4 linked regions of the Pelodiscus sinensis genome follow. The protein of the gene in region 4 purifies or fractionates together with the protein of the main gene of each other region. This does not show direct contact. Links are inferred from orthologs where the notes say so. Each region holds a gene or a part of one and is shown on either strand. Other genes may lie near its edges.

Region 1 (7,232 bases), on a different chromosome or scaffold from region 4:
AAGGTAGGATTAGCCAGATCGCCATTCTCTACCTATATAGGGCGTGTCCTCACTAAATCCATCCCCAACTCTGATAAGGTGAACTACTTAACTAACCATATACCTTGCCTCTAGAATTACATGATCTAGCTAAAGAGCATATCAACCATGATAACCTAGACAGATGGTATGGTGCTGAATACCAGGCTGTGTGTGCAGAAGATATATATAAAAGTAATGCACTGAAACATGACATACTTTTACCACCAATATCTTCTCCAAGCATCTTCCCAGTTAGTACCGTGACTATCAAAGCCAGAGAGTTACAGAGTGGCACCGCCAGGGACAGGTCTGAAATTGAACAAGGACATGGAGATACAGTCAGATTTTTTTTTTCTATGAACACAGTTTAAAAACTAAATTTTGTAAAAATCACTTTCTCCTCACTAATGCAAAACTGCTGTTACTGAGCGTATATATAGGCTTGGAAGGATTAGATTTTTAGTAATAAGTGTTGATTTCACTATAAAAAAAATCAAATTTACAGATAGGCAAGGTAAAAAAAATGCTGCTTGAGAACTTAATATATTTTAAAGAAACTTACTTTATATGTTTTGATGTGATATCATTATTTGTTCGTGATTACAAAGATTTAATATTTTGCATCTCAATAGCTGTCATTAAAATATTTGTCTAACGGCCCTTCATAAATCCCTGTGATTTAAAAATTTAAATGGATCAAAATACAAAAAAAGTTTAATACATGTTGATGTCATCTGTCAAAATTGAAGAATCATAATCAAATTCTATCCAGCCTAAGAGATGTGAAATTGACTTCTCAGATGGGCCACAGAACTCTTCAAGGATGACATGGTCTATCTAACCCTAGCTATCTCACTACATTGAAACATAATAGCAAGGACTAACCTGTGGATGCTAACGTGAGATAATAGATTATTGATCCACATTGATTAAACAGAAATGGCACCATGTACTAGGAGGAAAACATAACATATTCAGTCACTGCACATGAAATGACCATATACACATCATGAATGCTATTTGAGGCAGTGAAGCTAGTTGTTAGAGTGGGGGATTAGGAGCCAGGCTTTATTAATTCTATTTCTCAATCTACAAGGAAGTGTGGTCTAGCAGTTAAATCAAAGGGATCTGTTTGTGGTTGTGCCACTGACTCCTTATGTGAATTTGAGTCGGTCACATAACTTCTGTTTCCTAGTCAGTAAAAGAGAGACAACACGTAACTTACAGTAATTATATGAGGCTTAATTAACTGTGTAAAGGGCTTTGAAATCTTCAAGGGAAAAGTGGTATCATATGCAAGCTAACTGGAATATCACAAAGGATAAAATTTCCAGTAAAAAATGTCAAGTCCAGAACAGATATAATTAAATGATCAAGAAAATTAATGTTAAAGCCAGATTAAGGTACATACATTCAATATTATCTCCATCCAGGATGCCTCCCCCCTTGGCATCACTTGAAATGGTTTGGAGGTTTTAATACCTTGTAATTGAGGCACAGGAATTTCATCTCTGCAAGCAGCTGCGGCACCCGGTTCCCTTTCTTCACCTTCTCCAGTCCCTCTGTCCCCGTCTTCAAAAATGGGTTTGTCCCTCCCCACAGAATAGCCACTAGGACCAGTGCAGACACTTCTCCTGCATAGGGATGTTAAATACCAGTTAACTGAATAGTCGATTAACCTCATGAATTCTTTTCGTTTACTTGAATTTTCTATAGTCCCTGGGGGTGGATCCAGCAGCCAGTGTGCACCAGCCCCACTCCCAAGGAGCCCACTGCAACCCCACACTGCTGCCTCTGTATCAGAGAGGCAGCAGCGCGGGGTGCCAGGCAGGAGCTAATCTGTGAGGAGAACCAGTTTAAAAACCAGTTCCCCTTGCAGACTGGCTGCCTGTTGCCCCGCACTGCTGCCTCTGATACAAAGACAGCAGCCTCTGTCTGAGGGGAGGGGAGATCTGAGCTCCCAGATGCAACGCGATCTGGAACTGAGCCAGGCTACCTGCCCGCCTGGCTCCTAATACACTTTAAACGCAGAATCACAGTGGAGGTAGGTCTCAGACCCGGTGCAAGCCAGGATTGAGCTAGGCTGCTGGCCAGCATGCTAAAAAGTTTTCTGGCAGGGGCGGGAGGGAGGAATGCATGTAGTCTATAGCATTAACAAATACGTTTTTGCTTATTGGTTAATCGACTACATTATTACATCCCCACTCCTGCAACACAATCACAAACCACCACAATTCAGGGGTTATTTGTGTCTTGTGAGTTTCTCACTTTAGTTCCTACATCAGTCCTGTGCCTGCCACTGTGACTATCACAAATTCCCTCACTTTCTCTCCCTCTCCTTGGCTGTGTCTACACTGGGCCACGTATTCCGGAAAATCAGCCGCTTTTCCGGAATAAGCTGCAAGCTGTCTACACTGGCCCTCGAATTTCCGGAAAAGCAACGACGCTCTACTGTACAAAATCAGCCGCTATTCCGGAAAAACTATTCTGCTCCCGCTCGGGCATAAGTCCTTATTCCGGAACACTGTTCCGGAAAAGGGCCAGTGTAGACAGCCCAGTAGTCTTTTCCGGAAAAAAGCCCCGATTGCAAAAATGGCGATCGGGGCTCTTTTCCGGAAAAGCGCATCTACATTGGCCACAGACGCTTTTCCGGAAAAAGGGCTTTTCCGGAAAAGCAGCCTGCCAATGTAGACGCTCCTTTTCCGGAAAAACTGAAAACGGAATAGTATTCTGTTTTAAGCAGTTCCAGAAATTCATGCCAGTGTAGACACAGCTCTTCTGTTTTAAAACCCCAATTATGTAAATGCTGAGCATCCAGAACTGTCCTACCCCTTCTCCTATGCTTCCTGCTCTCTTTACCTCCATGCACTCTCAGCTTTGTGCCTTCTCTCATGTACACCTACCTGCTTGGAATAGTCCCTCCATGTGTGCTAAACCATCATTCCTTCAACAAAGCCTCCTAGCCAATGATCTTACCAACCTACCCCACATAAAAACTATTGTCTGTCTGGACCTTTTCTTACAATGTCTTATGTAACTCGCCAAATACCTTTACAGCATAACAGAACTGTTAATACAGTGTTTAGTAAATAACAAACAACCTTAACTGTGTTGTTACCAGCTCTAGCCCAATTATCACATTTAGCCCAGACATCACATTTGCAAACCACAAATGAATGTCAGATGCTAAAAAGCTCTGAGCTTTTATGGTGCATTATGTATTTTAGAATACTGCAGAAGACGGGACAGACCTGTTTGAATGCTGCTGACAGTGCAGGGTTTTGCAATAAACATTACTATGTCATGGTCACACAGGTTTATTACATACATTTATTTCTGCCGCAGTTCTTTTTCTGTCTATTTATTATTACAGATTATTCCAGTCTATGAAAACAGGTTCAACGGTCAGAAAACTGGGCTTGACTGCATTACTTTATGGGTCTTAATAGCAGTTTACTGTGACTCAGCCCGTACTGGCTAGAGCTGTGCTGGCACCCAGAACAACTCACTTCCTATTTCTGGCACTCCCCCAATGTCACCAGCCTGGAACCATGAATCATTTGTGCTTTCGTCCAGAACACGCGTATGGTGAGCAAAAGGAGCTGAGCAGCTTTAAAAGGCCTGGCTCCATCATGGTGCCCTTTAAAGGTGATGTCCTGAGAGGCTGCTGCCCCCGGCTCAGTGAATAAGCGGGTGTTTGTGTATAGAAGGTCAGTGAAGCGCCTTAGGTCCTCCTGTGGTCTCCAGATGGGAAACCTTGTCAATGTCATACAGTGTGTGTGTGGGGGGGGGGCTGCCCGCTCTTCCTTTAGTGAGCCCCCCCCAGGCCCCAGCACTGGGGAACCCTCCGACCAGCCTCTTCCCCTGCACCCCTGCCACTGAGGACACCCTGACTCTCACCTTCCCGCGGGGGGGGGGGGGCTGGAAATCCCCTTCCCCAGTGTCCCACCACAGGGACCGTCTAGCACCCCTCCCCCCACCCCACAAGGAGCCCCGCCCCTCCCCCCTGTGCCCCGCCCCTCCCCCTGTGCCCCGCCCCCAGCTGCAGAGACCCCGCCCCGGGGGGAGCCGCGCGCTGCCCGAGCGCCTGTCATGACTCCCGGAAGCAGGAAACTCACCCGCGGAGGCCATGCCGGCTCCGCTCCACTTCCGGCCCGGCCGCGCCCCCTGACCCGGATGTGGTTCTTCCTCCTTCCTGTTGTCACGCGGAGCTTGTGACTGGGCCGGGGCTGTGAGCGGTCGCCATGGTGAGTGCGGGGCCGAGGGGCGGCTGGGGCCGGGCAGGCCTGGTCGGGAGGAGGCGGAGTCTCGGGGGGGGGGGGAGAATTCCCCCTCCCCCCACGTCGGGTCCTGCCTCGGTCCCCCCCCCCCCCCGCTCCTTCGAGCCCGTCCCCGCAGCGTCCTGCCCCCCCCCGGAGCCCATCCCCCCCCCACACCACCACCACTCCCCCCGCCCGTCCGCTCCCCCCGCAAGCCCCCCGCCCCTCCCCGCAGCGTCCTGCCCCCCCGGAGCCCATCCCCCCCACCACTCCCCCCTCCCGTCCTCTCAGTGTCCTGCCTCTCCCGCCCCCCTCCCCGCCCCCCGCCGCCCCTCCCCGCGGCATCATGGCTCTCCCTTCTGTTTGGCTTGGAGCCCATTCCCCCGTTATGGTGGCCCCAGCGCTCTTGCCCCCCCCCCCCCCCGATCCCCTCGGCTGCCTCCTCCCCTCTTTATGGAAACACCAGCGGGGAGTTCCCAGTGTAACACCGGCACCTGCTGCCGCCCCAAGTACATTGCTGGGTCCCGGTGAGGAGCCACTAGGGGAGGGGTTCCCAACCTGGGGTACGCGTACCCCTAGGGGGTAGGAGAAGCGTGTCAAGGGGTACAGGGAATATTTGGTAAATAACTACATTATCCTAATTGAAATATTCCCTAAGTGGTCGTGTGAGTGAAAAAAGTTGGTGGATTCTAGAGTCTAGAATTTATTTCCTTTCATATTGAATAGGGGGTACGGGAAGGTTTACTAAAAGCCAAGGGGGTACAGGGACTGAAAAAGGTTGAGAACCCCTGCTCTAGGGCCTTGCTGCGCTGGGATTCCCACCCATAAGGTGAAGAAACGCTGGGGGGGTAAAGCCTTCTTATTGGGTGGGGTTAGCCACCTCCTGAAGTTGTTCCTGGCCCTACGCATCTGTGAGATGAATTCAATCCCCAGTCATCCTCGTTCCAGCCTGCTGGCGCATTGGGCCTTATTAAATGACAGGTCCCCTTCCAGGGCTACTCAGTGAAACCTAGCAGCCTGGGAAAATAAACAGCCAGTAAAGCTGCGTGGTTTGAGGACTCTGGACTCTGCTAAAGTTGAATCTTCGGGAAGATGAGGTTTTCCAATGCAGGTTTCAATGGATAAAACATTGAAATACGAGTAAATGGACTAGCTTCAGTTGTGTTTGGTGGAAACTCTATACTCATGTATTTGCACAAATCACAAAGCCCGAAGGTGTGTTTTATTTTAAAATACTGGATTTAAAAAAAAAATTCTGTCTCCTTTTTAGAAACCTATACTATTGCAAGGTCATGAGAGGTCCATTACTCAAATCAAATATAACCGAGAAGGAGACCTACTCTTTACAGTAGCTAAAGATCCTGTAAGTATTTCTGAGTCTTTGATTAACTGTTTCATGTCTCTCAAACTTAGGAGGAAGTTTAAACTGGATTCTAAAAAAGTGAAACTTCTAGCAGCCAGTTTAATATTATGGTTATGCATCATAGCCCTGTAGCTGAGGTGGTGTCAGTTTTTTGTTAACTAGTTATTACAGGCAGTCCTCGCTGTAAGTCCAAGATACATTCCAAAAAACTTGGACTTGTAGCAAAACAACTTAAAGTATGGAATTTTTTTCCCGCGGCTGACTTCCATTTGTGCAAATTGGTGGGGGTGGGGGTGGGGTTGCTCAATTTAAGAGCGGGGAATTGGAGGACTTACAACGCATCAGTTCCTACAAGTGTCAATGACTTTAGTGTGGAGTGGATGTACCAGGGCAACTTATAGCGGGTATGCCCTGTTACAGAGAGTTTGTATAAAAATTGGAAATTTAACTGTATTTTATCATCTATATAGTCTGAAAATCCCTTTCCTCCAGGGTGTTGGAGGTACTTCTCTTTCCCTATACCTGAAAAAAGTGTATTCCCATTCCGAGAAATCTTTGCTGCTTCCTGTTCAGTTCAAGGTCTAGTACAAAACCAACCTGCTTCCTCTTCAGGATGTTTCATATAGTAGTTTTCCACACCTAGCATTTCTGTCTCTCCTCAGTCTTACTTGAGCAGCATATTTTTTTTTCCTCTCCCTGTGTTCCACCTTAGGCAGTAATCCCACTCCCATTTTTAAATACTATTTCCAGGCCCCTGAAGAGAACCATCACTGCCTGCTTTTCAACATACATTCTGTTTAACTGCATTTATAAAATACCTGTTGCCATGCATTTAGTGATAGTATCTCTCAACACGAAGAGTGCACCATATTCCCTGTGACCATCCTCATTCGTTCTCCTACAATCTGACCTCTCCACCTTTTGACATTCCTGTCCTACTATCTCTAGTGATGCTGCCTGTAATGTAGGTTATAACACATGTAGTCCTACTTGTATGTGCAGTGAGATAACTTGAAATACTCAAAGATGAGACCATATGGAAGTAAATTACGTTCATTTATTTAGCAGTTTGATCAAACATGGATCCTTGACCAATTGTTTTGCATTACCAGATTGTCAATGTTTGGTACTCGGTCAATGGGGAGAGGCTTGGCACTTACAATGGCCACACGGGAGCTGTCTGGTGTGTGGATGCAGATTGTATCCTTTCATGACTGAAACCTGGCTGCTTGGCTTTATGGTGAGTCTTCTCACATGGGAAGTGAGGCGTTTTTATTGTGGACAGGAGGCAGTAGGCACTATGAGCGATTTTATTGTTGGCCTTGTGATCTTTCCTTTACTCTCCACTGTTGTATTTCCCTTCATTTGAAATAATAAGTGAACTGTGGGGTGTCGTGTTCCGCCTTCACTTGTTCAGATATCGCTTTTGACTGACCAGCTGTGCTGGAGCTCAATGCTCTGGCATTCCTAGAAGTAGGGACGTGAATACCCATTAACAAAGTTATCTGGTTAAATGATACAATTTTACTCGCTTAAATGGTTAACTATGGGCTGATGCAGAGTGGCTGGGGTCCCGTGGCAGAGTTGTT
Region 2 (6,946 bases), on a different chromosome or scaffold from region 4:
TAGAAATATAGTTAATTCCAAACAGCCTACTTCTTATTTTAGAACAGCTGTTATATTAGTTTCATTCTGGGAATGATTTGGGGCTTAAGAGGGGGCTCCAGGCTCGGGCAATGTGTCAGAGTGCAGTGCCAGAGAAGACAAAGGCTCTAGGAGAGAGTTTAGTGCTGGAAGACATTCGGACCTGCGGCAGGAGGCTGGGGTACAGGAGCGCGTGAGGAAATGCTTACTCCAGGCAGCTCCTCGCCAGCAGCACACAGGACTCAGGCGGACTGCTTGCATGCCATGACCCCATACAGCTCCTTCAAATGACTAGCTTCTGGAAACTCTCTGCTTCCTACTTGGGGGATAGGAAGATGGCAGGCGTTGCTGATGTTGCTGGGAACTGGCCAATAGGAGCTGTGGGTAGAGTCCCGGAGGCAGGGGCACCATGTGCAGTCACCTCCCTCCCACATCATGCCAAGGCCCACAGAAACATGTCAGCAGCTTCTGGGAGGGATATGGGGTCACAGGATGCAAGCAGCCTGATTGAGCACTGCTGCACCGCTGAACTTCTAGCAGCCTAGAGATTGTGACCGACTGGCAGAGGCTCCAGAAGCCACCAGTCAATTGCAATCGAGGGGTTGGTGACCACTGATTACATTATTATGGACATATTTTTGTGGATCCCTCCCCTTAGCCAGAGGCTTTTCAATTCTCATTGTATTTTTAAGATAGGAGAAATATATAGTCAATACTGAACTCAAAATAACAGATTAAAATATCTAAAAAATACAGTATTTATTTTAACTAGGGATGTGAAAGTGCAAACATGGGCTCGTTGGTCAACCTTCACAATTACATGCAAGATCCCAATATATGCAGAGAGCTAGCTTAAAAGCCAGTCATGGTGCGCACCCGCTCCCTCATGCTGCTGCCTCGGTCACAAGCGGGGGAGGGAGAATGTGGGAGCCAGTGCATGTGGGGAGCCCGCACAGCACTCCCCCCCCATGTAACCCTATGGCCTCTGAATTTTTCAGCAGTTACATGTTTATTTAATTAACCACATTTTAGCATCCATAATTTTAATAGTGAAACAGAGACAGGAACATTTCCCCATCTCCCCCCCCCCAAATGAATTATAGTCTTATTAGTAAACATCATCTTTGATCGCTGCACTCTCTTTTATATAAACTACAAAATACCCTAGGTCTGATGCTCTCATGGAGTAGTTAATTATACACTAAGCAAAAAGAATCTTCCAAGTTGTTTTTATGTTCCAAATATGGGGCTCCAAGACTAGAAGCTCCTTCACATAGTACTGATCTCCCAAAAAAGAGCTATTTTGCTGGACTGCATCAACATAGGTTATTGTATTGCTTCTCAAATGATAATATCAGGCTCTAAGTTCATAGGCGTGGATTCACAACACCTCTCCAGATAGTTGATACAGTTCTGGAATTTTGTTTTTAAGTCTCATCTTAGCACAAAAGGAAAAGCTTTCCAAGAGTAGAAGAGACCAAACCAAAACCTTAACTTAACTGGTAAAGCCCCATATTCCCTAGCTCTGTTCCTCACAGGACCCGCCCTCACCCCTTGTCCTCCACCAGGGCTGGGTGCCCTAGTGAGAGACCAGGAGGCCCTGCCCTCACCAGGGTCGGGACACCTTCTCTTCTCCCCACCTTTATCTGCCCTACAGTATGGGGTCCCCCTCCTACACCGGGCCTGGGTATTCTCCCTCTCATGCCCCCCCCCCCCGAGCTCACAATGCCTCTTAGGCTGGGGCACCCCTGTTTGGGGCTGTGCTAAGAATGCTAAGTATTGAGTAAATGACTGACTGTGTGTACTCAATATAGTTTGTATTGAGAACATAATACGTTGGTAAGGGGCCGTTGCGGCTCTGCAGTTTAAATGTAGTAGGAGCTGAGTGCGCAGCCACCTGGCTCTTACTATCTTTAAAAAAGCAGAACCGCAGCACCGCTGTGCCTCTACTTCCCCTGCCCTCTCCGCCCTGCACCATGCAGAGGGTGCTGGGGGGGGGGGGGGGCTTTTAAGCCGGCCTACCCCAGCACCGGCTCCTGCTTCCCCCTCCTTGCTGCTTCCAATAGAGCGGCAGCGGGGGGGGGGGGGGGGAGCGTGAGTAGTGGACTCGACGGCTCTTCTACATCCTTCGGCTGGGCCAGTGAAGGGGCGACTGGCTGGAGCAGAGGAGACTGACCCTGGACTATTGGACTAGTGCTCGGGCGCCCGGCCCCGGGTGAGAGGACAAGGGCTGCAGGCCTGTGGGGGAGGGGTGGGAGGGGTGATACCTGGGAGGGGCCCGGCCCGTGGAGGGGGGTGATTCGCGGGGGGGTGATTCGCGGGGGGGGGGGGGGTGATACGCGGGGGGGGCTCGACCGGGGGGGGTGATACGCGGGGGGGGGCCCGGCCCGGGGTGATACGCGGGGGGGGGCCCGGCCCGGGGGGGGGGGTGATACGCGGGGGGGGGCCCGGCCCGGGGGGGGGGGGGTGATACGCGGGGGGGGGCCCGGCCCGGGGGGGGGGTGATACGCGGGGGGGGGGCCGGCCCGGGGGGGGTGATACGCGGGGGGGGGGCCCGGCCCCGGGGGGGGTGATACGCGGGGGGGGGGCCCGGCCCCGGGGGGGTGATACGCGGGGGGGGGCCCGGCCCCGGGGGGGGTGATACGCGGGGGGGGGCCCGGCCCCGGGGGGGGTGATACGCGGGGGGGGGGGGGCCCGGCCCGTGGGGGGGTGATACGCGGGGGGGGGGGCCCGGCCCGGGGGGGTGATACGCGGGGGGGGGCCCGGCCCCGGGGGGGTGATACGCGGGGGGGGGCCGGCCCGGGGGGGCTCCCGGCGAGCAGCGCCCCGCTTACCTCCATGGCGGCCGCGCACCCCTCCATCACCTCAGCGGGCGCGGGGCTCCCCTCAGGGCAGGGCGCCGCCGCGGAGGCTCACGGGAGGAAGAGGCGCGGCGGCGGAAATGGGGGAGGGGGGGAGAGCGGGGAGGTGCGCGCGCGCGCCGCTGGCAGGCCGGGCAATCGCGCGCCGATGTAATCGCGGGCGGGGTGAGGGTCGCTGCAGGCGCGCGGAGAACGGCAGCCGCGCGCAGGCGCAGTGCTGCTAGGAGGAGTGAGGAGCTGTGGGAGGAGCCACAAGCCACGCCCCCTGGCCGGTGGGCGTTGTTTAGGCGCCACCTGCTGGTCTGGCAGACCAGGGGGTGAGCTGCTCCCCATGGGCAGGCCAGCTGGGCCCCAGGCTGTGCAGCTGCCTCTTGGGAGTTGCGCTTTCCCCACCCACTGGCAGCGGTGCAGAGGGCTTGCACCTGCCCTGCTGAGTCGTGGGGCAGGCAGGGGGCTACGCCACGTGCTGCTGTCGGGGGAGCAGAGGGAGGTGTGAATAGCATGGGGCATGGGGTATGGGGCTAGCTCTGCCAAGGCGTATAGAAGAGTAGCCATCCTGGGTTAGGCCAACAGGCCGTCTAGCCCAGTACCCTGTCTGCCAGCAGCAGCCAGTGACGGGTCTTCTGGGAAAATTAACAGACCAGGGTAATTAGTGAGTGGTCCATCAGCTGAGCCTGGCTTCCTGTGGGCAGTGATTTAGAGACACCCATGGCATGGCCTTGCATCCCTGCTCATCGTGGCTAATAGGCCTGGATGGACCATCCCCTTCCCTTCTCCTATTTATTTCGACTTTCCTTATCCTCTAACCATAACTCTGGTCATCTGAAGAAGTGAGCTGTGCCTACAAAAGCTCATGATTCCATCTACATGTTTTGTTAGTCTATAAAGTGCTACCAGACTGTTTGCTTGCTGTTTTTTCCTGTAACAGACTAACTCTGCTACCCCCTGAAGCTCCTGAGCATATCTAGTTATTTTTTAAACTCAGACTTTTTGGCTTCGACAACCTACCCTGACACCCATAGGTAGGACAGAAAATGTCTGGGGTTCCTAGCAACGGGGAGTTCCTGGACGAGTCTGTGGTGGATGCTGGGGCAATGCCTGTGACCCTGTCCCCTCTCTTTGCATCCTGCCATTGGCTCCCTTCACCTTCCCCTTCCCTGGGCTCTCCTGCTTACCTAAGAGGTCAATTTCTGCTTGCCCTCAGCCCACGAGGGCAGCCTCCATGGCCGAGTTGTTACAGCACCTTTGTGCAATGCCCATGTTGCCTTTTGTGCTTGTCAAGAGTGCCCCATAAGCACCCACAAAACCAACTCATTGTCCTTCAAAACCTCCTTTGCTGTGACATCTACAACAAACTTAATGAGGAGGCTGCTGGTGTGCAGAGGCCCCAGCCCATCCTTTTGACCATATTGTCCAGAGCCAGGCAAAATATGGCCTGTGGGCTAAATCCTGCCTGCCAAGCTGCTGGATCTGGCCTGAAGTCACAGTGGGAGCCTGTCAAGCTCTCTCCCTGCTCCGCCCCTGCATGCCACTCAGAAAAGCCAATGGTGGGGCCTTGTTCATCTGTGAGCAGCTGCAAGCCTAGGAGGAGGGGAGAAGAGGCTTCATGCACTGCCTTCCCCCAGCAAAATCTTACAGCTCCCATTGACCGCTTTCCAGCCAATGGCAGCAGCCTGTTTGAAGACCCTCCCTCTTCCTCCCCTCAGGCTTGCAGCTGTTCGCAGATGCATGTGGCCCTGCAGCTGCCTGCTCTGAGTGGCCTGCCAGGGCAGGGAAGACAGGGAACTTGCTGGGCTGCTGGCCAGGAGTCACCCAAGTAAGCATCTCCTGGCCAGAGTCTGCCTCTGGCACTCCAGACTCTTCCTCCCCCCAACCTTCTTCCCTCCCCCACTTCACATAACCCAAACCATTTGCCCCTCCTATGTTCACGCATATCTCCTCCCAGACCCTGCACCCCAATCTCTTGCCCCAAGTCACAGTACCTTCCTGTCCAAGGTCACAGCCCAAATCTCTACACTCCCTCTTGCACTCCAGTCCACTCTCCCAGCTTACAACCCCCCTCCTTCACCCAAATTCCCTCCCAGATCCCACACCCCCTCCTACACTCCAATCCTTTACCCAAAGCTCCCTTCTGCAATCAACCTCCATCCCGGACCCCGCACCTCCTCCATTCATATCATGGAAAAGAGCGGCCCTTGACCACTTTACCAAATTCGTAGAATGACCTCCCCCATCCAAAATTATTGCCCACTCCTGATATAGTGTCTTGTACTCCCGTTAGCCTTTGTATCCATCCACTGTCTCCTGGAGTGCATGCTCCTTGGGGAAGGGATTTCTTCTTTGTTCTGTGTTTGTAGCACTCTGGGGTCCTGGTCTGTGACTAGGCTTCTAGCTGCCAAGACCGTACAAATAAATAATGTACTGTTTCAGCTCAGAAGAGAAGAAGCCTGATGCCAGTACTGAACCTGATCCCTTAACCCAGATCCTTAAAGGTACTTAGGCCCTTACACTCCAGTGCTGGTGCTGCTGTCCCAAAATCTTTCTCCAGCCGCTGTCACTGATCCAGCTGGAGAGGGAGATGAGGGTTCTGGTTATCAGCCTGGCAGGCACCCGTGTGGCTTCCAGTGGCCAAAAGGCTCGTCTGCAGACAAACGCCGGCAACCTTCCCAGCGTTCAAGTGGATTCGTGAGAATCCAGCTGAGATAGCGGAATGCCGACCTGCCGACGGAGGGGAGAGGGGAGACAGAGCTGGCGCACCACTCCGCCAGTCTGCGCAGCTATGAGGGCAGGACCGACTGCCTGAGGCCCTGCCCCTTTGAGGACGTGGAGCTGGGGTCCACACACACACACTTCGCCCAGGGCCCCACAGTTACGGTTGCCAGATGGTTTAACAAAAAATACCAAATCCCCCCTCCCCAAAAATGGGAAAAAATTCTGTTGAGCAAAAAAAAGGGGGGGGAGGAGAGACCAAAGTTATTGAGCAAAAAAAGGGGGGGACGCTACACCTTTCAATGGCCCCGCATTCCTCACTCCCCTGCAGCAGGGGAAAATTGTCCCCGCTGGGCTTCCGTCCGAGGGAAACAAGAAATACCTGATTTTTTTACCAGCTGGGGGACCTGAATAACAGACAGTCCGGGTGAAAACTGGACATCTGGCAACCCTCCCCAGGGTGGTGGTCGGCTCCGCTGCTGGCATGTGTGACCAGACTCCCAGATGCATGATCGTTATGTGAAATACAGGCCGCTTGGCAGTCAGGAACGTGTATGGATGGAAGAGCCCGATATGGAGCTTTGTTGCTTCCCCTGCAAGGGGAAAATCACGCAGCAGAAAAGATCGTTATAAACAGCAGAGGAACAGAAAACCTAATTAGGAGTCTGGAGGCTTTGGTTCTATTCCTGGCTCGGCTGCTGTGTGACCTCGATCCGTCACTTTCCCTTTGGGGGCCTCTATTTTCTGCCCCACTCTTTGTCTTTTTTATTTAGATTGGAAGGTCGGCGGAGCAGTTTGTACGGCAATCAGCACAATAGGATCCAAGCTGGGTTGGAACCTAGATGCACACAGTAATGCAAATAATAGTTACACATAAATGTAATGAACAAGGAAACAAAATTCATAATATGCTTCCTATAGCTTCCGAAAATGTCCAGTCAAGTTCTGAAAATGCAAAGTGCCAGCGTCAATTGAACTTTTCAGACAATAGCGAACGTATGTTCTGGTTATGCAATAGAACGTAGCAAGGACATTTATCTCACGGAAATCTTTCATTCAAGAGCATCTATTTGGCTCAAGTACTCTCCCAGTAAGTGAATACCGTATTATATTTATGCCTGTGGCATCCCCTACACATCTCTTCCACCAGTTTTCTCTCATATCCAGCAGCGAAAGTAACTGAAAGGCAGGGCATATCTAGACAAGGGAATTAATGTAGTTTGAAATAATAACTCCAGCAATAACTATTTCGAAATAGCGTGTCCACACTACAGAAAGGCCTCAAAATTAGTCCGAGGCAGGCTCCCTCAATGTGGATGTTCTACCGTGACTTAAAGCCCCAGGAAGCACTGGGGAGT
Region 3 (7,084 bases), on a different chromosome or scaffold from region 4:
ACCGCCCACACGCCCTGAGCCAGCACCACGCATGTGCTGTGCGCCCGGGGCAGGGGCTGCCCATGCGCCACGCGCCCAGGGCGAGCACCACGCATGTGCCGCACATCGGGGGGGAGCAGCTCAGATGTTTTGACGGGCACACATAAATGCCCCAGCGGGCGCCATGGTGCCCGTGGGCACTGCGTTGGGGACCACTGGCTTAAGAGACTACTGAAGACAGCATTACAGCTTCTTATTGTGGTAAGAGTCCTACACTGAGGAAGCATCTGCACCGGTCTGTTCCAACAGAACAAAGGAGTATCCAACACATCAGCAGATACCTGCTTGGTACCTCATTTTGTCAGTTATATGAGTAACTTCCATTATCAACAAAGATAAATTACTTAATAGCTCAAATTATCCTTAACAACAACAAAACTCCACCAACCAGGCCTCAACACTCAGACAAAATGTATGTACTCCAATCATGGACCCTGGAGCCAAATGGCACAGATTTCCTCAATGCCAGTGTGATGTATGTGAAACCAAACTGGCTTGCTTTCAGTTTCCTTTCCTGGGGCCAGACAGCCAATACACGGGTGGACTCTTTAAGAACTGGGCTTGTAAAACCTTTTTGGAGAGGCAACTGACAATTGTTTAGTTAAGGGTTTTTTTATTATTTATATTATGGCAGAACAATGAACTTCAATCAAAGAGCAAGTATTCATTGTGCTTGACTCTACATGAAAAAACACGGAAGTCCCTGCTCTGGAGAGCTCACTATCTGGGGGTAGACAAGATAACAGGTGTACATAAGCGGGGGGGGGGGGGGGGAGAATAAAATAAAAGAATTTGCAGAATATTGTAAAATACTGCAAATTCAAAAAAGGATCCTGGGGCCTTTGTTTTGGAAAGAGGTGTGATTTTTAGTTTTTTTCTCAACTCCATTACTTTCTCTGGTTTCTGATGGACAAGGAGCTTTTCTGGATCATTCTCAGTCCTGCATGTTTGAATGAGATATTTCTATATATGTAGGTATTTACACTACACTCATGGTCAAGTAAGTATCTCATGATCACCTTCAACCAAAAATTTCTAGATTGAAAAATCTTTGAGCATGCATTCACTTTTCGAACTGTATTTCCACCTTACCCAACTTCAAGTAAAGGTTCTAATCCTTAATGCCATACAATGTTTTTAAAACTTCAGCCACTGTGATGCAGTCACATTTAAAAAGAAGCAAAGAAATGTGGCTTGAACTTCCCATGATTTTTCTCCCTTTCAGTAGAGGCCAAGTAAGACAATCTACAGCCTGAAATGTTCATATTTCCAGTTTGTGGACTTGTGAAAACAGCATCACAGCAGAATTTGTTTGTGGCCATGTGCTGCTCACCATGGTACTGTAAAAGGATCAGTTTCCATCTGATGTTTACATGTATATACACACTCTTTTACAGCACAGAATGCTCTATATAAATGCTCAGTGCTAGTTTTATATGAGTGTATAAACAGCCTCAAACATTATTCAGAAAAGATTAAACATACACCAAACCTCCACACACAGGTCTTAAAGCACACACTTTAAAGTATCAGAAATAACAACGGAAGTGGTTTTAATACAGATGTGGCAAGTCAGTTTTGTTTTTAAAGGTGCAGCTTTACAAGAAAGAAAGTGACTTTACAGCTTGGTGGGGGGTCAAAATATAAACCTTTTGCCAAGGTACTAACACCCTAAAAGTAGGAACCGGCAGCTTTCCTATACAGAAGTAAAGCAGGCTCCCTCCTCCCCGATAACCACTTCAATCCTAGCGCTGTTTGGGGACAGCCCGGCTGTCACTGTATCCTCACCCAGCCAGACTGGGGACCAGAGTGTCACCCCTTCCCCACAAATGCCAGCGATGGCATCCTTAGGCTGAAGACCAGGCGCTGCTCCGCAGAAGGGGCTTTTAACTGGGGGACGGAAGAAGGGAGGGGGAAAGACCCCACACCACCATCCGCCCCCGCTGGGGGGTAGGGAGGAGAGGGGGCATGAAGAATCCCCCACCCCCATTCCCTGCAGGGGGGGGCACCAACCCCACCAAGGACCCCATCCCCTCACCCCGCAAAGGGGGGCACCCCCAAGGACTCCACCCCACAGAGGGGGGACACCCCCAAGGACCCCACGCCCTCACCCCACAGAGGGGGGGCACCCCCAAGGACCCCACCCCGCAGAGGGGGGGACCCCCAAGGACCCCATCCCCTCACCCCACAAAAGGGGGGCACCCCCAAGGACTCCATCCCACAGAGGGGGGGCACCCCCAAGGATCCCATCCCCTCACCCCACAAAAGGGGGGCACCCCCAAGGACTCCACCCCACAGAGGGGGGACACCCCCAAGGACCCCACGCCCTCACCCCACAGAGGGGGGGCACCCCCAAGGACCCCACCCCGCAGAGGGGGGACCCCCAAGGACCCCATCCCCTCACCCCACAAAAGGGGGGCACCCCCAAGGACTCCACCCCACAGAGGGGGGCACCCCCAAGGATCCCATCCCCTCACCCTGCAGAGGGGGGGCACCAACCCCACCAAGGACCCCACCCCCTCACCCCACAGAGGGGGGCACCCCCAAGGACTCCACCCCACAGAGGGGGGCACCCCCAGGGACCCCACCCCCTCACCCCGAAGAGGGGGGGCACACCAAGGATGCGCCCGGCTCCCGGGGGGGCACATCCCTGAGGAGAGCTGGTAAGGACCCCACACGCCCCCCGGCCAGGAGGGTCGTGGAGCCCAGACCCTCCCCCCCCGGGGGGGATCCCACGAATTTCCCGCCTGAGGAGGCTCCTGGGGAGGGGCGAGGAGCCCCCTGCGCGCGGGGGGGCGGGGCTCCCGTTACCGTAGGCAGCAGCGGTCCCCGCCGCTCCGCTCCCCACAGCCGCCGCCGGCCTCGCGCTGCCCCCTGCGCTGCCCTGTTTGTTTTTGTTTTGTTCTGCCCAGCGACACGGCCGCGAGCGGCCGCCGCCGATTGGCCGGCTCGCGCCACCCGCCGCAGCCAATCACAGGGCGAAGGGGGCGGGGCAGGGGCGGAAGGGAAGGTGTGTGCTCAACCGGCCAGGAGGGAGGGCGACACCATGCGCTGGGAAGTGGGTGTGTTCGGCAGGGAAGGCATAGGAAGGAACCATTGGATGGTGCGGGGAGGAGGGGCCCGGGTGATCCAACACACTGGCTGGAGAGAGGGAGGGGTGAACAAACTCCCCAGGCCTCTTAAGAGGAGACGTATACAGGGCAGGGGGGGAGGGGTCTTTGCTGCCCTCTAGGGCCCAGTGCAGTGGTGGGAGGAGGTCCCAAAGTGCTATGCGCAGGAGGTATTGGGACTCAAATTGCATCCCTAGATTATGCCACCCAGCACTTTCTACGGGGCTGGTCTAAACGAGCTTAGGGCAGCAGGAACCTATGTTGCTGGTAGCCAAATGTCCATGCATTCTGCCACCCTCCAACCTCTTTAAAGGGGAGGGCGTTCAGCACTCGATCAGCCAGCTAGGGTTGCCAGATGGTTTCAACAAAAATACCGGACACACTTGACGTTACATCACCATCGACATTACATCTTAGTTAGAAAACTAGCCAATTGGCCCGTCATAAGACGGGATTTTCAGGTCTCTCCTGAGCCTCCGGTCTCTCGTTCCGTCTCTCTCTCTCTCTCTCTCTCTCTCCTCCTCCTCCTACTGCCTCACCCTCTCTCTCTTTCAGCTCTCCTCCCCCTCCTGCTTTTCACTCGGGGGACCGTGGAGCCCAAATGGCCGTTTGGGCTTCGTACTCCCCGTGCTGCATGGGGGGCATGGAGCCCAAATGGCCGCTTGCGCCACTTGCTCCCACAAGGCGGCCTGGCTGACCAGCGCAGAAGTCAGCCGAGCGCCACGGCGGGAGGTGAAAGGGGGCGGGGCGGTGACATTCACGGGCAGGGGGCAGGGCCTGGAGCTGCTGTCACGCCGCACGTCACCGCCCCACCCCCCTTCGCCTCCCACTGTGGTGCTCGGCTGACTTCTGCGCCGCTCAGCCGGGCCACCGTGAGGGAGCAAATGGTGCAAGAGGCCGTTTGGGCCCTGCACTCCCCATGCAGCACGGGCCACCCAGAGGGAACAGCCAGCATTTCAGGCAACAGCGCCCCCCAGAGGGAACAGCCAGCATTTTGGCGTTACAGACTCTCAGACACTGGGCTACTATATATATGATACCAGACATTTATATTTTCTCAATTTGTTTCCCGAACAGAAAGCTCAAATACTGGACTGTCCAGTTCAAAACCGGACACCTGGCAAATCTACAGTCAGCAAATGCTGGTTTGTTCATTCAGCACTATAAAATTTCTGGGGGCCAGCATATTCACCGGGGCCAGAGTCAGTCAAGTTGCATTCCCAAAGAGCCTTATTAATAGCAGTTATATACTGGGATCTAAAGGAGGAATAATTTTTCAGTTCCATAAATGTTTGTGGCTCATGGCACAGAGGCTATACCATCTAATACACGCAAGGATGCCACCTCCAAGGTACAAAACAACAGCATATCTGGGATGATGCTGAGCCCAAAAAAACTGAACAGCAGGCAGTGTGCATTATGAGTGAGTGCCTTTGCCGATTTCACAGGACTGCTAGCTCAGAAAAGGGACAATCCTGGGAACACCTAATTAGGTAACAACCCTAAATCCATGCAAGAAAAAAGCACAAGTCAAGAGGATGCAGAGCAGGTGTTGGAGTCACAGGATGTCAACAAACAGACCATTTCGCAATATTAATAGAAATGTAGCTGTGTTAGTCTGGTCTTCCTGAAGCAAAAGACAGGACTGTGTAGCACTTTAAAGACTAACAAGAGGAATATGAACAATATGAACAAGAGGAAAAGTAACAGTGAAGAAGGTTTAGGGAAAGGCCGCTGCTCTTAGTAAGGGAGCCAAAGCAAACAAACAATCCCAGCATGGCACTGTGAGATTTATCACAATGAGATCATGCATGCTATGCTCTTTTCCCCCCAACCTGAGGTTAGCCCTGCAGGACACCACACAGACCTGCTTATCATAGGATGTTCTAACTCAATAACTATAATAAAGGTAGCTTTAAGGCAGCCTATGTGATCTATATGCAGGACAATGTAGCACTTTAAAGACTAACAAGATGGTTTATTAGATGATGAGCTTTCGTGGGCCAGACCCACTTCCTCAGATCAAATAGTGGAAGAAAATAGTCACAACCATATATACCAAAGGATACAATTAAAAAAAATGAACGCATATGAAAAGGACAAATCACATTTCAGAACAGGAGGGGGATGCGGGGGGGGGGGGGAAGGAAGGAAGGTAAGTGTCTGTGAATTGATGATATTAGAGGTGGGGAGAATGGGATGTCTGTGAGCTAATGGTATTAGCGGTGATAATTGGGGAAGCTATCTTGGTAATGGGTAAGATAGTTTGAGTGTTTGTTCATTCCTTCCCGGAGAGTGTCAAATTTTAACATGAATGACAGTTCAGAGGATTCCCTTTCAAGTGCAGATGTAAAAGGTCTTTGTAGCAGAATGCAGGTGGTTAAGTCATTGAGAGAGTGTCCTTTCTGGTTAAAATGGCAAGAAACTTTTTTTTCTTTGTGATCTTGTCTGATATCTGTTTTGTGGGCATTAATCCTTTGGCGAAGTGTCTGAGATGTTTGTCCAATGTACATAGCAGATGGACACTTTCGGCACATGATAGCATAAATTATATTTCTGGATGCGCAGGAATATGTGTTCTTGATCTTATAACTCACTTGGTTAGGTCCAATAATGGTATCAGCAGAATGAATATGTGGACAAAGCTGGCAACGGGGTTTGTTGCAAGGGAAGGTACCAGGGTTGGTATTAGTGTGGTATGTCCTGTGGTTGTTGGTAAGAATCATCTTGAGGTTAGGTGGTTGTCTATAGGAGACTATGGGTCTGTCTCCCAGAGCCTCTTGGAGTATGGTATCCTGTTATCTATGCAACTGAATAAAGCACAGCACTTTCAGGCATACTCTCACATAGGCATATTCAACCCACTAGGCATTGCCTGACGCCCATGCAGATTAAATCACTGATTCCCCACCCATTACCCCATTGAAGGTTGTGGCAGAATCCCCCCAACCCCCTTCTGTTCTGAAATTTGATTTGTCCTTTTCATATGTGTTCATTGTTTTTAAATTGTATCCTTTGGTATATATGGTTGTGACAATTTTCTTCCACTATTTGATCTGAGGAAGTGGGTCTGGCCCACGAAAGCTCATCACCTAATAAACCATCTTGTTAGTCTTTATAGTGCTACATAGTCCTGTTTTTTATTAGGGATAACAATATTACCGAGAAAGGCGCATAGACCTCAGACAGACAAACCAATTTAGATTAGAGGCTGCAGAGCCTGAAGTGTGAGACAACGAACACACACACCTTAAGCAGACAGGCAGGAAGTGGCGAGGGAGGTAAATTGTCATATGTAAAACAGCATAGATAGAGAGAACCCAGAAGTGGAGAGGAAGATGACTAGTTCCCATGTGGGTAAAATCACAAGATCTACCAAGTAAGGCTAGCCTTACAAATAGCAGTACACTCCTGTTGTATTTGCCTACAATGTGGAAATTGAAAAGTTTGAGATTTTCATCTTGGCTACCAATCAACACCTGACCCCATTTGCTTTTCTCTTTAGCAAATGACAAAATATAAATTAAAATGAATGAAATACTTTTGGTTTTTAAAATTGATAAGATATTCTTGATCTTTAAGTGACTCCAGACTAGACTAGGGCAAAACCTGTGTTTTTTGCAGCCTGTCTTTATCGCATCCATCTTCTTTACCACAGCAGTGTTTTCTACAGAGTTGCAGCACTGAACATTTTGAGGTTCTGGCATTAGGTCTGAGCTATCACACCAAAGCCTGAGCAAGGCAGATATAACTCCTCTAGTTGAGGGAAAGGAGGGAGACTCTAGGGAGAAAGATGACTCAGGAGACATCCCTTTCAGTCCTGAAATTAGGAGTCTACTAAATACAAAACGTATTCAAAGTAAACTGCAAAAGTGAAACCACTATGTGCACTGGAAGGCTATGATATCTCTAGCCAATACAGTTTTTCTTTTATT
Region 4 (7,453 bases):
CTCCCCTTCCCCGTGGCTGGGCCGCTACCAACACAGCAGGAGTGGTGCTGAGCTCTGTGTTTTATCTCATTTCCGGAGCAGCAGCCTCCAATCCAGCTCCAGGCAGTCTGGCCCTGCTGCCTCACCCCTGCAGGTGGCTCAGTTCCTTGCTCCTGGAACCTGGCTAACTGGCTCAGCCTGTGCCAGGGTGGCTGTTTTGGTACAATTTTGCTCAGTCATGCTGTTTGAGCCGTGTAGCCAGCCAATCTCCTGGCTCTCAGTATCAGCTGCTCTGGACATGGTCACTTGTTGAACTCAGCTGCTGCTCTGATGTGTAATCCCTGCTTGATTTAACTCGGGCAAATCAGTCTCATATCAGCCCTGTCCCCACCCTGTTTGCTATCCTAGCTGAAGGGCTCCTGGACTCCCTGCATTCCTCTGCTCTTTTGTTCCCCAAACCAGTTCAGTGGCATGTTAAAGGTGAAAATCCAGCTAATTCCAGAAAGCTGGACATCAACTTGCATCCCGAAGCCACAGAACGAGCAATTCTGTAGTTTGTCAGAACCTCCCCCGTCCCTCCCCACTCATTGCTCTGAGCTCAGATTGCGAGTGCCCTGGAGATGGGGGTTTGGGTCTTTTGTCTGTACAGCCGCTCCCCGAGTTGCGAACGGTCGAGTTACGACCGTTTGCACCTATGACCAAAGCTTCCATGGAGCGGTCCCCAAGTTACGAACGCGACCTGCGCTTATGAACAGCATGGTCGCGTGTAACTCAATGGGGTCCGAGTTACGAACGGATCGAGTTATGACCAAGTGTTTGGTTCGTAACTCGGAGAGGGGCTGTACTGCAATGCAGCCATTAGTTGCTATGTAGCTAAGATGGGTAAATTGATACAGTTGGCCAATTACACTGGGGCTGTGTCTAGACTGGCCAGTTTTTCCAGAAAATCAGCTGCATTTCCAGAAAAACTTGCCAGCTGTCTACACTGGCCGCTTGAATTTCCGCAAAAGCACTGACTTCCTACTGTAAGAAACCAGTGCTTCTTGCGGAAATACTATGCTACTCCCGTTCAGGCAAAAGTCCCTTTTACGCAAAGCTTTTGTGCAAAAGGGCCAGTGTAGACAGCTCAGATTTGTTTTCTGCAAAAAAGCCCCCGATCGCGAAAATGGCAATAGGGGCTTTTTTGCAGAAAAGCGCGTCTAGATTGGCATAGACGCTTTTCCACAAAAAGTGCTTTTGCAGAAAAGCGTCTCTGCCAATCTAGACGCTCTGTTCCGAAAATGCTTTTAATGGAAAACTTTTCCATTAAAAGCATTTCCGGAAAATCATGCCAATCTAGAAACAGCCTGGGTGCGCACCACTCTCCCTTTCTCCCCCAAGATGTTTCAATTCACAAATCACTGTCCCTCTTGGCACCAAGACCCTCTTTTCAGATGGGCGCATATGCCCCTCACCCATTGTAAACGCCTCTGAGCATGTATCTGCTTTGAATCTTTTTGTTCAGTATTTGTACAGCACCGAGCCCTGGCACCTGACTAGTGGTTTTAGGCACTACAGCAGGGCTACTCAACACACAGCCCATTTGTTTGTGGCCCACAGGGTAGTTTGGATTTACATGGGGCTCAACATGCAGCCCGCAAGTGGGAGCCAAATCAAAAAAGTGGTCAATATAATGGTCTTCTGTTGATATGTGTTTTAGTAGTAAAATTCCTGGACTGTCATTGCTCACTGAAAGTGCTGTCATATGGGTGGAAATCAGGTGAATATTGCATTTTATTAATATCAGAACTGACTTAAAGGAGGCCTGTGTGTTGTGTAGTCTTGCCTTAATCTTTGTATTCATGCCTGTCAGTATGAAAGAAGCTATTTGCATATATTTGGATGTATATGCAACCACACTTAAGTTGCAACCCTCGGCATATGCTGTGAGTATCATTGTGGCCCCCGGGGCTTCCAAAGTTGAGTAGTCCTGCACTATAGTAACCAGAAAGGCCAAATGGACTTCTGGAGCTTACACTCGTTATCAGCTGCCAGATTCCAGTATGCAATACACCAATGTGACCTGAAGGGGGCCTTTGTATGCTGGGACAAGTTAGTTCCGCATTGCATGCTGGTATTGGTAGTTTCTGTGTCCACCCCTCCATGTTACAGAGGCATGGTGGCTGCCATCTGCTTTATTTTAGGCAGCTTAGGCATTGAATAATTGCCAGGGTAGGGCCCCTCCCCCAACTTAGAAAAGTTCAGACAGGAGCTAAACTGCCCTGTGAAGTGATGTGGCTAGAGCAGAAGACTGGGAGTCAGGACTCTTGTGTTCTATTCAGAGATGACTATGGGAAATTTCCTTCAAGGCTTTCTGGGTTTCCTCCTCTGCTAAAAGGGGCTGGTAACAGCGTCATCAGAAGGTGTGTCAGAGGCTCTGGCAATCTGATTGGAACTAGAATTTGGCTGCATCCTGCTCTCCTTTTCCATCCCTTGCTTGCTCTCTGCCACCCCCTCTCCTATTCTGTCCCAAAGCCTATATTTCAAGCCTTCACATGTTTGCTAAGGAGTAGGCATGAAATGAGTCACTGCCCAATATTAAGGATGCAAATGGGTCAGGCCCCACCCACTATCCATCATGGCTGTTCTTTCCCTCCTCCTTACCTCACATCAGTGTGATCAGTGGTACTTAAGTGAGAAGGAAGGCTATGGATTGGCTATGGACCAAGGTGGGTCTTGGCTCCTCACTTCCACATGGTGAATCCTTGTAGGTAGAAGAAGCTGAAGCAGCTACATAAGTAGCTTCCTAATGTTACTTTTCCATATGAGCAACTGTAAATACCATCATGACTTTATGAAATCATGAAGTAAATGGGAGGTGACCAGGACTGGTAAAGAGGTAACTTAGCATGATTGTGAGGAAAGGTGTGTCCCCCCCCCCCCATGACAATGTTTAGCAACCCCTGATCTAATGCACATAAAATCTCTTCCCCCATGTATTGATCTGTGATTACCTTTCCCTAACCTGAGGAAGAGCTCAGCGGAGCTCCAAAGCTTGTGTCTTTCGTCAACAGAAGTTGCTCTAATAAAAGCTACGCCATCCACCTTGGTTTTTGTTCTCAACTTTGCCAGCTGTTTGATGTAGGCACCTGTGAGCATACAGCTCTGTGCCCCCTTTGCCCAGTGCCACTGTGCGCATGCAGATGCCTATGTATGTGGAGGGTGTCAGGCTTGGAGAGATGTGTATGTGGGAAGATGAGGGCAGAGGGTACCAGCTTTTGGGCGGGTGGAATGTTTATGTGGTGAAAGGGCACAGTACCAGACATGGATGGATGGAGGTGTGTTTTGGAGCTTGGTGGTAGGCAGCATCAAACTGGGGAATGTGTTTAGGTCAGAGGTGGGGGCAGAATACCATGCTTAGGGTGTGCATGTGGGGGGGGAAGCATCAGACTCCGGAGTAGCAAAGTATTAGGCCATTGGGTGCACGGGAGGCAGGGAGTGCTAAGCTTAGAGAAAGAGGTGTGGGGAGGGGAGTAGGTGTAAGGACTTTGGAAATGCTAAACCTAGAAGGAAGAGTGTGTGGGGGGGGAACAGGTGCTAAGCCAAAGTGGAGGTGTGTGTGTGGGGGACAGGTGCTCAGCCTAGGGGGAAGAGTGTGTGGTGGATGGGTGCTAAGCTGGGGGTGAGGAGTGGGAGGGATAGGCACTAAGCCCAGGGGGAGGTGTGTGGGGGCCGTTGCCGAGCCTGGTGGCAAGCGGGTCAGTGATAGGCACTAAACTTGGGGGGAGGAGTGGGAGACACAGGCACTAACCCTAGGGAGAGATGGGTGGGGGACAGGTGCTAAGCCTAGAAGGAGGGGTGTGTGTGTTGGGGGGCAGGGGCTAAGCTGAGGGAGAGGTGCTAAGCCTAGGAGGAGGCATGGGGGACGGGGACAGGCACTAAGCCCAGAGAGAGGTGTGTGGGGGGACAATCACTAAGCCTAGGGGGAGGTGTGTGGGGGCAGTTGCTGAGCCTGGTGGCAAGCGGGTCAGTGACAGGCACTAAAGCCGGGGGGAGGGGCAGGACTAAGTGGGGGGGGGCAGTTGCTGAGCCTGGGGGTCGGCGGGTGCAGGACCCGGGGACAGAGCTCAGCCCAGGGGCGGGGGAGGGGGTCTGGGTGGGGGCCCAGGGCGGGGGACGCCGAGCCCCAGCGAGGAGCGTGTGGGGGAGGCGACAAGCCGCGGCAGGCCGCTGGGTGCGGGGAGCCTGGGGCACCCCTGCCTCCCACGCCTGACACGCGCTCGTCACATGTGCGCGCGAAGGTAGGAACCGGAAGTGCGTCGGCTCACGTGAACGCCCCACTAGCCCAAGCGCAGTGGCTGCCGGCAGGCCACATGACAAAGGTTCTGCTGAGGCCGGGCGTCACATGACTGAAATGCCGGGCTCTCCGGAAGAGGCGGGCTGCAGGTCACATGACACGGGCCCCGCAGCGGGCGGGGAGGGGCGCAGCACGGCCTCAGCCGGCCCCGCCCCCTCCTCCGCCCCGTGACCGGCCTGGCCCCGCCCCTCCCCGCGGAGCGGCTCCGGAAATGGTCGTGCTGGGCTGCGCTGCGGCTGCGTCGGGCCGCTCGGACTGAAGGAGACTGAAGGTAACGGGGGCCGGGGCGGGCCGGCCGGGCGGCGCCGCCTCCCTCCGCCATGCCGGGGCGGGGGGGGCCGAGCAATCCGCCGCCATCCACCCCCGGGGGAGCCCGGCCCCGCCGCCCCGCGACGTCCGCCCCGGCCCCGCGCCCGCCCGGCCCATGTGCGCCGGCCCGGCCACCACGTGGGGAGGGGGCTCGCTGCCCGGCCCGGCCACATGGAGCCCGCGCGCGGCTCGGGGGGCCCGGCCTTGGCCGCCCCCCTCCCCCCAGGGCGGGCCTAGGGCTCGGCCTGGAAGGGCAGAGACCGGGATCTGGCTCCTTCCGCCCCGGCCCCGTGGGGCTGATCCGCCCCCCCCCCCGCAGCCTGGGGGGCCTGCCCCCCTCGGATCGTCTCTTCCCCGCACCGGTTCCCTGGGGCTCCCCGCACCGCCCACACGCACATGCACAGGCCTGGCTCTCCCTGCCCGCCCCGAATCCCCGCTGTCGGGGGGGGGTCCCCCCTCTCCCCGCCCCCAGGTGCCACACGGCCCCTCGGCCGCCTCGCTTCCCCGCCCGCCCGGAACACTTGCCCCTGGGAGAGGCCTGTTGTCTATAGGCCCTCCCCATTATGGTGTCTGTAGGGGCTTATTAGCCCCTCCCCCCAGCGCCAGGGCTGGAGTGCATCCATTTCCTTCCCAAATTCCTGCGGGCTATAGGCCCCGACGGCCCGTATGGCATGCCACGTCTGTCTCCCCTGCGCCCGGTGCGCACAGGCTCCCTCGCGCCGAATGCCTGGCGCCTCTGCGCTATAGGGGCCTGAGCGCCCCCCCTTAAATATCCGGCGTCTATAGGGGCCTGAGTGGGCCTCCCGAGCCCCCTCCCCCGCGGTATGCACGGCTGGCCCCGCCCCTAATGCCTTTATCCTGCTCTTAGCGGCCGCCCCCACGTGCTCTCGGCTCCCCCTCCCGTCCCTAGGCCCAGCCCCGGCCTCTTCCGAGCCGGCGTCTAGGCCCGGCCCCCACGTGTCCCCGCCGCCCGGCTTCCATCGGGCCCGGGCAGGCTGTGCGGCGCCGGCTCCCGCCCGCCCCGGGCTCCCTCCCCGCCGCTCCGTAGCGCGGGGGCGCCGGCTCCCGCCCGGGCCTCTCCCGAGAAGCGATGGCCGCCGCCGGGAGTGACACGTGTCCTTGGCAGAGGCCGCCGCCGGGCCTTGGGAGCGGCGGGCCGACAGGAGCCTTGCCACGGCTCCGTGTGCTGCGGGGGGAGCCGCTGGCCGGCTCCAGCCCGGGCAGGGGACGGCTCCTGGTGGACAGTCCCGGGGGGGGGGGGGGGGGTGCGCGCTGCCCCCTCCTCAGGAATTTCCTCGCGTGGGGGGTAGGATCCTCAAGTCTGCCTGTTCTATAGGGGCGAGGCAGAGTCTGGGGTCCGTCGGCCCTGGTGGTGACTGGTGAGATGCCCCAGAACTGATATGCCTTTGCTGGGTGCGCTGTGCCCCATGGGCGCTCATGGTCCATGGCAGGACCCTAAAGCCAATGGAGTGTAGCGGGGGGGGGGGTGTCTAAAGCTGAGCCCCCGGTGGGGACATTTGCCCTTCTCCTATTTGTTTTGTTCCATAAACTGGCTTGTTAGATGTTTTCCTAGGCGCAGGTCTCCCCTGCCTCAAAGCAGCAAGAAAAAACAGGATTTTTTTCTGCCCCTTTTTCCAAATTTTGGGTTCTGCTGGGGTGTGCATGTCCTCCAGGGAACAAAAAATGGTGGGGGGCGGGGGGAGGGGAAGTAATCAGCTGCCTAGCTGGAATTCGTGAGTGGGGCATGTTCTTTGGTCTCCTGCAGCTCTGCATGCAGGATAGTGTGAGCTCATTTATTCTGTGACTCTTGAGAGCTGTTTTGTACCTGTCACCCAGCCCTTGAAAATGGCATTGAGGGCTCCCTATTTATCCTCCTGGTCAAAAGGCAAAGTTGACAAATTGCGTCACTACCCTTCAGTTTCTTGGCCTCTGAAAAGGGGCCAGGATCCTTGGAGGGGACACAGGGTTGGTGTGTCCTGCCCACGGGCTGAGCTCTAGCCCCCGTTAGCATCTGTGCAGCCCTGAACCGCTTACTGGGTTTCAATAACAGTTCTGTTACTGCCAGACTGGAATCTGTTTTCCCCTCCTGCAGCTGGTCTAGCTCTGGGGGACTTCCAGGACACACAAGCACAAGAAGAAAGTTGGCACCTAAAGTGGTCACCTTTGACTCTGCCTACACCCAAGGGGCAGTGCTGTGGAGTGGGGAGGGACCATTGTTCCAGGGGCCTGTTCCTAACTAGCTGAGCATGGCTCAGAGTTGCAGAACAGACAGCAGAGAAGAGCCAGGATGAACTGTGCCCACACCCCCTTCTCTAGAACATCCTCCTCGCTTCCCGTCCCTGTGAAACATCCCTCTAAGGCAGCGAATGCCCTTCCTCCTCCGTTTCTGTGGGCCAATTGGCACAGCAATGGCAGGGATATGCCGCCTGCAGAAGCAGCTCGGGCACCATCCACAGTGCCAGGAACAGAGGCAGGAGCACATGCCGGTTCCTCTTTCCTCCGGTACCAACAGAAGCTCCTGGTTCCTGCTTGGGGAGCAGAGAGAGACACTGAGTTCATGCTAATTTGGCTCTGCTGCTCTAGAGAGCAGAGGCAGGACCAAGGTGCTGCCATCCTCCTCTCTGGAAGTCTTTTTGGGATGCGGGTAGGGTTCCTATGCCAGTTGCTAGTATGGAATAAGCAGAGGAAAGGTTATTTCCAAAAGTTTCCCAGGGGAATTTGTGCTGGGCAGAATGGTTTGCCCAGTGTCCAAATCACAACCTCTCTTCAAAAGTGCTATGGGCCTCAGTTATTTCTGCTCAAAGTCAGCAGTCTAAGCACCATGCTAGG

The links.
Region 1: the proteins of EIF4G1 (region 4) and EIF3I purify together in Homo sapiens (affinity purification with mass spectrometry; 5 studies listed by BioGRID and IntAct, counting the BioPlex papers as one, with this or other methods). This does not show direct contact. The link is inferred for Pelodiscus sinensis from reciprocal best matches to the Homo sapiens genes EIF4G1 and EIF3I.
Region 2: the proteins of EIF4G1 (region 4) and MKNK1 purify together in Homo sapiens (affinity purification with western blotting; 3 studies listed by BioGRID and IntAct, with this or other methods). This does not show direct contact. The link is inferred for Pelodiscus sinensis from reciprocal best matches to the Homo sapiens genes EIF4G1 and MKNK1.
Region 3: the proteins of EIF4G1 (region 4) and PDCD4 purify together in Homo sapiens (affinity purification with western blotting; 3 studies listed by BioGRID and IntAct, with this or other methods). This does not show direct contact. The link is inferred for Pelodiscus sinensis from reciprocal best matches to the Homo sapiens genes EIF4G1 and PDCD4.

What each region holds. Positions count from the first base shown.
Region 1 is NC_134735.1:3,621,021-3,628,252, forward strand, and holds the start of EIF3I (eukaryotic translation initiation factor 3 subunit I), read left to right. Parts: upstream 1-4,220; 5' UTR 4,221-4,265; coding exon 4,266-4,268; intron 4,269-5,550; coding exon 5,551-5,643; intron 5,644-6,755; coding exon 6,756-6,843; intron 6,844-7,232. Other genes in the region: TMEM234 (transmembrane protein 234), read right to left, coding at 238-330, 907-973, 1,504-1,655, 4,140-4,152. UniProt on the Homo sapiens protein: Component of the eukaryotic translation initiation factor 3 (eIF-3) complex, which is required for several steps in the initiation of protein synthesis.
Region 2 is NC_134719.1:3,691,843-3,698,788, forward strand, and holds the start of MKNK1 (MAP kinase-interacting serine/threonine-protein kinase 1), read right to left. Parts: upstream 3,010-6,946; 5' UTR 2,880-3,009; coding exon 2,853-2,879; intron 1-2,852. UniProt on the Homo sapiens protein: May play a role in the response to environmental stress and cytokines. Appears to regulate translation by phosphorylating EIF4E, thus increasing the affinity of this protein for the 7-methylguanosine-containing mRNA cap.
Region 3 is NC_134718.1:66,934,220-66,941,303, forward strand, and holds the start of PDCD4 (programmed cell death protein 4), read right to left. Parts: upstream 3,007-7,084; 5' UTR 2,851-3,006; intron 1-2,850. UniProt on the Homo sapiens protein: Inhibits translation initiation and cap-dependent translation. May excert its function by hindering the interaction between EIF4A1 and EIF4G. Inhibits the helicase activity of EIF4A. Modulates the activation of JUN kinase.
Region 4 is NC_134720.1:48,593,701-48,601,153, reverse strand, and holds the start of EIF4G1 (eukaryotic translation initiation factor 4 gamma 1), read left to right. Parts: upstream 1-4,432; 5' UTR 4,433-4,586; intron 4,587-7,453.